Linked DNA regions of Caenorhabditis elegans. The protein of the gene in region 2 purifies or fractionates together with the protein of the main gene of each other region. This does not show direct contact. Each region holds a gene or a part of one and is shown on either strand. Other genes may lie near its edges.

Region 1 (4,665 bases), on a different chromosome or scaffold from region 2:
ACCTTGGTCATATGGATTCTTCAAAACAACGAAAAGATGTAGTCATCGCCAACTTGGCACTTGTGCAAGTTCAGGCTACTGTCGTCGCTTTCCTCGCTTCTGCTTTTGCCGCTGCTCTCGCTTTCATTCCTTCTGGGGATTTCGATTGGGCTCATGGTGCATTGATGTGTGCAAGCAGCCTAGCTACAGCATGTAGTGCATCCCTCGTACTATCACTGTTAATGGTGGTTGTCATTGTGACATCTCGAAAATACAACATCAATCCCGATAATGTGGCCACACCAATTGCTGCATCACTTGGAGATCTGACGACACTCACTGTACTGGCTTTCTTCGGATCCGTGTTCCTCAAAGCTCATAATACTGAATCTTGGCTCAATGTTATCGTGATTGTATTATTCCTTCTTCTCCTTCCTTTCTGGATAAAAATTGCCAACGAGAATGAAGGAACACAGGAGACTCTCTACAATGGATGGACACCAGTCATCATGTCAATGCTTATCAGTAGTGCTGGAGGATTTATATTAGAAACCGCAGTCCGAAGATATCATAGCTTGAGTACATACGGTCCAGTATTGAATGGTGTTGGAGGGAATTTGGCTGCTGTTCAAGCCAGCAGACTCTCTACTTATTTCCATAAAGCCGGCACAGTTGGAGTTCTTCCGAATGAATGGACTGTCAGTCGATTTACCAGTGTTCAGCGTGCATTCTTCTCAAAAGAATGGGATTCTCGATCGGCTCGAGTTCTTTTGTTACTCGTTGTTCCTGGTCATATTTGCTTCAATTTCCTTATCCAGTTATTCACTTTGACTTCAAAGAATAATGTGACACCCCATGGACCACTTTTCACCAGTCTTTATATGATTGCGGCAATCATTCAGGTAAGGTTTTATCGAAAATTTAAAATATATAATCAAAATTTCAAAAATTGCAGGTTGTCATACTTCTATTCGTTTGTCAACTTCTCGTCGCTCTTCTTTGGAAATGGAAAATTGACCCAGATAATTCTGTGATTCCATATCTTACAGCTCTTGGAGATCTCCTAGGAACCGGACTCCTATTCATAGTATTCCTCACTACTGACCATTTTGATCCAAAGGAACTCACTTCGTCATAATTTTAAAACGTTCAAACTTTTACCACATTGTATAACTGCATCCCCGTTATTATAGATTGGTTCTCATCCCCCATCTGCATGTAAAACAGTATTTCGCTAACCTAATTTTTCATTTTCACAACTAACGCACTTTCATCAGAACTCTAGTCAAACCCGATGAGTTGATTGATATCCATTTGCCGTCAAGCGCATAATTTTCTGTACATTGTGATCCATTTTTCTCTCTAGCTATTTTTGGTCATATCTAATAGACATTTTGCATTTTCCGCTAGTCACTATGTATTTTTTGGGAATAAATAAGTTAATTTGAACTTTTAAATTTAATTAATTTTTATCTCTGGACATCTTATTCCGCGAGTGGTCCAATAATTTTGACAAGATGGGCCAAGAAAAAAAACAATTTTCCAGATGGAAATAGGACAACGAGTTCGAATAAATTTCGAAGTAGCAACAGTTCGATATATTGGAGAAGTCGATGGATACGGTAGTCAACGATGGGTTGGATTGGAGTGGGATGATCCGACACGTGGAAAACATGATGGAATTGTGAGAGGAAAACGATACTTTCAGACGAGGTTAACAGACATTTTCATCAGAAATATATTCTATAGACATTTCTCATTCGAAACTGTCGGAAATGAATTCCAAATTGGGACAAAAAATGGAAGTGATCTCCGCTGTACACATTTTCATAGTTTTATGGCGGTCTCCATGAACTTTTAAATATACAGTGTCGGGGGATTATTTACCGTATTTAACACTCCAATTACTTTCCCTTAAAAATTCGTCACTAAATAATACAAACTAGTCACAAAAGTGTGAACTTTCAAATTTTCAGACATCCAAATGGAGGATCATTGATGAAGCATGAAATAGTACCGAAACCAACTGATCTATTGTTTGAAATCAAAGACAGATACATCGAGGAAGAGAGCGTCGAAACTGAAATTGAATTGGCGCAATCCAATAAGAAGATCGAGTTGATCGGAATGGATCAAACGGCTGCAAAACAAAGCAATATCGAGAAACTTATAAATATTGTTCTTGATAATCGATCAGTCGGCTTCCCACCTTCCTCGGATTCTCCCCAATTTATACTTTGTCGTGAACTTAATCTTTATGGAAATCTACTGTACAAATGGAAAACAGTTCGTCAGATTCTTGAATATTTTCCTAGAATTCAAGAACTCAACTTACGAAGGAATCGCATGCAATGCTTCAATGAAGAAGAAGATGATGATGAATCAGAAGGAGATGATCATGTTTATTCGGATAGTTGTAAGAAATTGGTCATTAGTGAATGCAATTTATCTGAGAATTCGGTAGGTTAAAGATTAAAGGTTAAAGGAATACCAATGAAATATTAAAAAAAAAGTGTCTAGAATTGCTATTTTTATTTTTCAGATCGACTCGATTCTTCTCCGGTTCCCCTCTACATCAGATGTCGTGGCGTTTGGTAATGATCTCACAAGATTCTCAGTTTCTGAAGCTGTTTCATCTCGTCTTACATCCCTCGATCTCGAAGATAATCCATTCAAAACACTAGATTCCATTCACGGAACTTTTCCGAATTTGACACAACTTTCTGTGGCGAATTGTGGAATTACGAGCTTAAACGGATTCGATGGTTCGATAAAATTCCCGAAACTCGAATATCTGAACATAAAAAGAAATTCAATTGTTGAATGGAAAAGTGTAAATTCCATTAGATCTCTTAAAAGTTTGAAACGGTTATTGTTCGATTGCAAAAAATTATCAACTGAAAAGGGTGTCCATGCCTATGAGATTGTAATTGCCAAGTTGAGCACTTTAATAGGTTGGTTTCAAAAATATTAAAAATTATTTAAAGTAGATGTTTTTTTCTAGATCTCAATAGGTTTGATGTGTCAGAAGTAGAACGAAGGTCTGCAGAAATTCGATTTCTGAACAAATATGCCGGTCTAAATGATAACGAAGATCATCAAGACGATATCAAAAGACTGATTGAAATTCATGGAGAACCGACACTTGATACAGCAAAAAAGGGCCTTGCGGTGGTGAAAATTAGAATTGAATGTGGAAATCGAGTGGAGACACGAAGGCTTCCATTGGGAATGAGCATACAGAAAATTAGAGATATGGTAGGCAAATGAACAATCATTATTATTTGAATCAAGAAGACATGCATGTACTTTTGAAAATGCAAAGAATTTAATTTAAAAATGTATTATCTTGATTCGATTATTTTGGGGACGCAGAAACGCGCTCCACTTCCAATTGAAAACGTAACGAGCAATGGGTCTCGCTAGGTATTTGACAGAAAACTGTAAAATCAAACGTTTCTAGTTTGTTTTGCCGATTTCGCTAATTTTAAAGATTTTTTGTTATGTTTTCCGTTGTTTCCAAAGATTTTTATGCCGAAAGTAATGAAATAAAAATTTGAGACAAAATAGAAAAAATCATTAGCATTTCATTTTTAAACATCTCTTCGACATAAAAATCATTAAAGAATGAAAAACGAACCAAAAAAAGACGAAAAATGTTTAAAAATAGGCGAAATCAGTAAAACTAATTGAAACATTTTAATTTACGGTTTTGTCGCCTAATACCTAACGAGACCCATAGTTTGTGGGCGGAGCATTTAAAATTAACCGTTGAGCGTGTTTTCAGATCAATGTCTAAAGTGTTTTTTTCTGCGTCCCCATATAGAGGCTAGTTTCATCAAAAAATAGAGGCTAAATACTTCCATCAAAAATTTTATTTTTTCCAGCTCGCTCGTCTCTTCAAAGTCCCCAATACATCGAAAATCCGTCTATACCTCGTTATGAGTGAAAAAGCCAAACAACACCGAATTGAACTAGAAAATCCGTTAAGAGAATTTGGACACTATTCACCTTCAGAAGATCGAGATATTCTTGTTGTGGAACATGATTGAATTGTTACCGGAAGATTATTTATTGCACAACTTATTGTTTGTTACAAAATATATGAGCTTTAACTTGCATAAAATTCCTTAATTTCTTATCAGCGAAAATGTCCGTTAAAAATACTATCCGTTATGTATCGATTTCAATACTATTTACAATTATTCCGATTATGGAATAAAATCAATCAGTGAAAATTTCACTTTTGAAAATTTCGTCATATGCATGGGTCTCGCAACTATTGTTGGTTTTTTTTGTACTGTGATCTACTATTGCATACCAGAAAATCTTTTTTGAATTTTTGAAGAATGTCAGCGAAAGAAGTGGATTTCGAGAGAGAAAGTCATCTTCAGTGAGTTTTTAAATTACTGAAAATCAATAGTTATTTGTGATCTTGTTGAATAAAGTTCAATTTATCATAAAAATAATTTTGAATTTTCAGTGCTGTGATGTGTTTTCTCACTGGACAAAGCGGCGAAAAGATTGTATCTATTTATCCACATCGAAAACCAGCTACCAAAGGTAATCTGAACAATATAAAATCTCAAAAAAAAAAACATTTTCAGCTCCATCGAAAGATCCACAACCTTCCAGCTCTAATCCAGGACAATGTGTGAAGCCAGTTCTTACAAGTGTCAAAGAGTT
Region 2 (5,682 bases):
ATACCTTGGCGAGTTCGTAAGCCATCAAAAAGTTGCCAGCGGGTAAAATGTAGCAAATTTCATTTTCCACCACTTTTTAGTTGACAACTTTTTGGTATTTCGCTCTCCCGCTTAGGTACAAGCTTTTGAAATTTGCAGACTGAAAGCTAACTTACCCCTGTTACAATTTAAAAATTCTTGTAACTCGGAAAATAAGCAAACTTTAAAAATTTGTCTTCTACAGGGCCTCGCTTGGGAAGCCGCCGCCACCAGCGTCAACAACGGCAACCGCGGGAAGTTCTGGGTACCCATCGAGATCCAGAGCTCGGATAAAAATGGAGCAGTAACAAATCTCGTCGTGGTATTCCAAGAGTCGTGGTGCAGTGTTGAGGAGGGAAATGATCTCGAGGATGTGTGCGAATCTATGTGCCCAGTATATTATGGAGGAGCTAAGGCTGTGAGTTTTATTTTTATGGAGAGCTCTTAGATTTTAAGCTTCGGAATTTCAGACATATCGTGTCACGGCTACCGAATCCAACGGGGGAAGTGATTTCGAATCTGTTAGAATTGAATAGAAAATGCTTTAATCTATCTTTTGTCAGTTAATTTGTACATAATCAATAATCACCTAATAGCTTTCCAATAAAAAGTTTTATTTTTCAATACTCATCATCCCCATTATCATTAGCATCGGAATCCGCGCCAACCTCCTCATAATCCTTCTCCAAAGCAGCCAGATCTTCACGTGCCTCGGAGAACTCGCCTTCCTCCATTCCCTCGCCAACGTACCTGGAACAAAGAGGTGTTTTGACAAAGAGGTGTTTCGACATTTTACGGGTCATGCACTGGGCTGCTGGGCAGCCGACATTAAATAGAAGCGCGTATCTCAGCTTTGGTCTTGTAAAACCCTATGTAACTCCACGATGAGCAGAGCTATCAAAAAGTTGCAAACTTGAGAAATATTTAGAATTTAATTTTCTTCATTTTGCTAGTTGACAACTTTTTGCTAACTCTATTCTGAGCTGTTAATTGCGGTTTGAAGTTGAGGCATCACTCCCACAGCTCCCTCATGCTTTCTCTAACTTCAAACTTGCTTAACTCGACAGTGAAAAACGTTATCAAAAAATGGTCAACTAACAAAATGTTTAAAATTAAATTTTCTCTATTTTGCTAGTTAACAACTTTTTGATAACTTTATTCTCAGCTGAGTTATAAACGTTTGAAGTTACGGCAACACTTCCGCAGTTTTGTCTAACTTCAAACTTGGTTAACTCCGCGGTGAAGAAAGTTATCAAAAAAATTTCAATTAAGAAAATATTTAAAATTAAATTTTCTATAATTTGCTAGTTGACAACATTTTGCTAATTCTATTCTCAGCTGTGTTATGATAGTTTGAAGTTGAGGCAACACTTCCGCAGTTTTGTCTAACTTCAAACTTGGTTAACTCAGCGGTGAAGAACGCTATCAAAAAATTGTCAACTAACAAAATATTTAAAATTAAATTTTCTATATTTTGCTAGTTGACAACATTTTGCTAATTCTATTCTTAGCTGAACTATGAACGTTTGAACTCACCAATGCACAAAAGCTCTCTTGGCATACATCAAATCAAACTTATAGTCCAATCTCTGCCACGCCTCCGCAATTGCCGTAGTATTCGACAACATACATACCGCCCGTGGAACCTTTGCCATATCCCCACCCGGGATTACTGTAGGCGGCTGATAGTTCAATCCAACTTTAAACCCAGTCGGACACCAGTCCACAAACTGCACGGATCTCTGAGTTTTGATCGATTTTATCGCAGCCGACACATCCTTCGGCACAACGTCTCCACGATACAGTAAACATACAGCCATATACTTCCCGTGCTTCGGGTCACATTTTACCATTTGATTTGAGGCTTCAAAGCAGCTTTTCGTTATCTCATCAACTGATAGGAACTCGTGGTGGGCTGAAGAGATCAGTGGATTGTAGGCGACAAGGGGGAAGTGGATTCTCGGGTAGGGGACCAGATTGGTTTGAAATTCGTTTAAATCCACGTTGAGAGCACCGTCAAAGCGTAGAGATGCCGTGATGGAGGAGACTACCTGGAAATTTTTTTATTATTTTCATAAAAAATTCGTTTTTTTAGTTAAAAGTACTGTGGGTTACTATAGTGGTACTATAGCAGTACTGTAGGATTACTGTAGGGGTGCTACAAGAGTTCCGTATGGGTACTGTAGGATTGTTGCAGGGTTACTGTAGGGCTACTGTATGATTAATGTAGGGGAGCTGTAGGGTGGCTATGTCCTAGGAGGTAGGAGGACAAGGAAATAAGGCCAAATATTTATTTATGAATAAGAAGAAGGGGGGAAACAATAGTGTATATATTAAGGGATCAGTAAGGGGTGGAGGGTCCAGAAAGGATGGTAGGGGATTCTACATCTAGAACCGGTTGATGCTTGAACCATGTTATATGCACAGTATAGCGTCTTATATACCATACGTACAAATCGAATTATGCTAATGTTGGGGGCGAAGGTGGTAATGTGATGGGAACGAAGGGAATATTGTTTCCCTATGACTAATAGAAGATCAGAAATCATAATCAAAGAGCAAGCGATTTGACAGGCTATAGGGGAATCGTAGGATTACTGTAGTGGTTATGTAGTAGTAGAACTGCAATGATACTGTAGGAGTACTGTAGTGGTACTGTAGTAGTACTGCATAAGTATTGTAGTGATATAGTAGGACTACGGTAGTGGTACTGTATGAGTACTGTAGGAGTACTTTAGGGGCACTGTAGTGGTACTGTAATAGTGTTTCCGGAATACTGTATCAGTGTTGTAGGAATACTGTAGGACTGTTGTTATGATACTGTAGGGGTACTTTAGGATTACTGTAGTGGTACTGTAGGAGAACTGTTGGAGTACGGTAGGATTACTGTATTTTTCAAACGTTTTAAAAAGCTGACTTTTCGAAGGCGTCTCAGCAAAATTTTTTCAACTAAAACAAAAAAATTTGAATCCCCTCCAAACCTGAGAAATAATTCGATTCAAATTATTGTACGTTGGCCGCGAGACCCGCAAATTCCTCCGGCAGATATCATAAATCGCCTCGTTATCAACCATAAATGAGCAATCTGAGTGCTCCAAAGTGGTGTGAGTTGTCAGAATTGAGTTATAGGGCTCTACGACAGAGGTGGAGATCTAAAAAAAAAAATTTAAATTGATATTCAATTTTTAAATTAAAATAGTTTAACCTGTGGAGCCGGGTAGATCGAAAATTCGAGCTTGCTCTTTTTGCCGTACTCCGCGGAGAGTCTCTCCATAAGCATAGAGGTAAATCCACTGCCAGTACCTCCACCAAATGAATGGAACACAAAGAATCCTTGTAATCCTTCGCAGTTATTCGCGAGTCTTCTGATTCTGTCCAGAGTAGTGTCGATGATCTCTTTACCCACTGTATAGTGGCCACGGGCGTAGTTATTTGCGGCGTCCTCTTTGCCAGTGAGCATTTGCTCTGGGTGGAACAACTTTTTATAGGCTCCCGTGCGGATTTCGTCTGGAAATTGAAAAATTAGGGGAAAATTTCAACAAAAAACCTCGGAAAGACTAATCATGCTAGCACGGATATCTTCAGGACATGGGTTTGTGTCTTCATTGGTTTTGAACCAGTGACCTTCAGAGTGGCAGGCAAACACACTGCCACTCGGCCACGCGTGCATCACCGCCGGCGCTCAGTAAGTGTATACTTGAAGAGTGGGGGTTACATGAATGAAGGGTAAAGAAAAATTGCATACCGACAACAGTTGGCTCCAAATCCACAAAAATCGAGCGTGGCACGTGTCTACCGTATCCAGTGTCCGAGAAAAAAGTGCCCAGAGAGCCGGAGTTCCCGTCGGGCTCCATCGATGTCCCATCTGGGAGAATTCCGTGCTCCAAGCAGTAAAGCTCCCAGCAAGCGTTTCCGATTTGAACTCCCGCCTGCCCCACGTGGATTGAGATTACTTCTCTCATAGTTCACTGTACTGTAAAAAACTAGATTAACTATAAGTTAAAAAAAAACTAAACGATCAACAGAAATTTCGCAATAGGAATTGCAAAATTTCAAAATTTCAAAATAAAATTTTTTTAAACCTTAACTTTTTGAAAGCACATATCTCGCTAATCCTTAAAGCTAGAAAAAAAAATTGCAACATACAATTTGTAGAAAAATTTCTTATCTACATTTCCCTAGTTGACAACTTTTTGATATCTCTCATTCCTACAAAGATACAAGCATTTGTAGCAAATAACCAGTGACGCTTATGTACTACAACTTTACACGGTTGCAACTTGCCAACCACAACAGTTACTAAAAAATTGTTAACTAACAAAATATAGCAAATGAAATTTTCTACAATTTATCAGTTGACAAAATTATTCTAGCATTCATGCAAAGATACAAGCTGCCAAAAAATCTAAGCCAAAATTTCAAAATTTTGCTTAAAACGAGTTGGAATTCAATTTTTTCGAAAACGAGAATGCCAAAAAAAGGAGTTTCATATAAAGATGTTTCATAATATTTAAGCACTGATAAGAAAAAGAGCAAACAAACATAATAAAACGTTTTTGGCGGTCTGTCAATGCGAAAAAGTGATGATGAGAAAATGATAAAACTACGGAAAAAGGTAAGCAGGAGAAGAAAAATTCGGAAGTTTTCGGAAAATCAATAATATCCAGTGTGTGTGCAGCCGACACCTTACGGGTTGCTATCTAGCAGCCGACACTTAACAGGTTGGCAGCGGACATCTCAAGGGTTTTTATTCAGCAGCGGACGCTTAATAGGTTGACAGCCGACACGTTACGGATTCCTATCTAGCAGCCGACACTAAACAGTTTTGTAGCCGATACGATACATGCTCTCACTCAGCAGCCGACGCTTAAAAGGTTGGCAGCCGACCTCTTACGGTTTTTTATTTTGCAGCCGACGCTATACGGGGTTTTACTCAGCAGCCGACACTTAATAGGTTTGCAGCCGACCTCTTACAGGTTTCTATTCTGCATACGACGCTTTACAGGCTTGCAGCCATCACTTCACAGGATCCACTAGGGAATTGTCGGCTGCTTTCAAATAACATAATTAAAAAGTAAAAAATAATTTATTCACGGCAAAGAAAAAGGCAGACAACTTCATCGAAGGCAACAAGAGAAAAAAGAGAAAACATGTAAGAAACCACCCGGTAGTGTGTGGGGATAAATTATGCGGCACAAAGAAAAAAAACAGAAAACAATGAAAACCAATGCTTAGAGGGTCTCCCAGACGTCTTTGGCAAGATTTGGGGACACGTTTGGAGCATTTCTTGGCTCTGGGCCGTATCCGAGGTCGCCGACGAATCTTTCGTAGTCTGAGGATTTCAAGCCGCATGGACGACGGAACTCGTTGCCCTTCTCGTGGATCCATTTGTTGGATACCTGGAAAAACAAGTTAAAATTCGAATTCCTCATGAAATTGTGGTCCTAGAGGTGTTTTTGTGGGTTACTGTAGCTGCGAAAGTACGCAAATACCGATATAAGAAGCGACCGACATTTCGCGGGCTCCCACCAGAAACAAAAAACTAACCCATTTGATTCCGACAAGAACGGGACAGGCGGCGTGACGGGTGTCTGGGTTTCCGTCTCCTTGTTTGTACAAGTTATACCAGAAGAGAGCATCATTCTTGGTGGGCAGAATTGTAGA

What was found.
Region 1: the proteins of tba-7 (region 2) and tbce-1 fractionate together in Caenorhabditis elegans (co-fractionation; one large-scale study listed by BioGRID). This does not show direct contact.

What each region holds. Positions count from the first base shown.
Region 1 is NC_003282.8:8,293,165-8,297,829, forward strand, and holds tbce-1 (Tubulin-specific chaperone E), read left to right. Parts: upstream 1-1,525; coding exon 1,526-1,692; intron 1,693-1,955; coding exon 1,956-2,439; intron 2,440-2,521; coding exon 2,522-2,933; intron 2,934-2,983; coding exon 2,984-3,237; intron 3,238-3,866; coding exon 3,867-4,031; 3' UTR 4,032-4,119; downstream 4,120-4,665. Other genes in the region: K07H8.2 (SLC41A/MgtE integral membrane domain-containing protein), read left to right, coding at 1-881, 935-1,117; nprl-3 (GATOR complex protein NPRL3), read left to right, coding at 4,329-4,372, 4,463-4,542, 4,587-4,662.
Region 2 is NC_003281.10:11,367,796-11,373,477, forward strand, and holds tba-7 (Tubulin alpha chain), read right to left. Parts: upstream 3,994-5,682; 5' UTR 3,981-3,993; coding exon 3,764-3,980; intron 3,736-3,763; exon of another isoform or gene 3,526-3,735; coding exon 3,224-3,525; intron 3,171-3,223; coding exon 3,000-3,170; intron 2,070-2,999; coding exon 1,555-2,069; intron 769-1,554; coding exon 639-768; 3' UTR 556-638; downstream 1-555. Other genes in the region: pugs-8 (Cystatin domain-containing protein), read left to right, coding at 224-436, 489-554; dpy-18 (Prolyl 4-hydroxylase subunit alpha-1), read right to left, coding at 5,250-5,417, 5,566-5,682.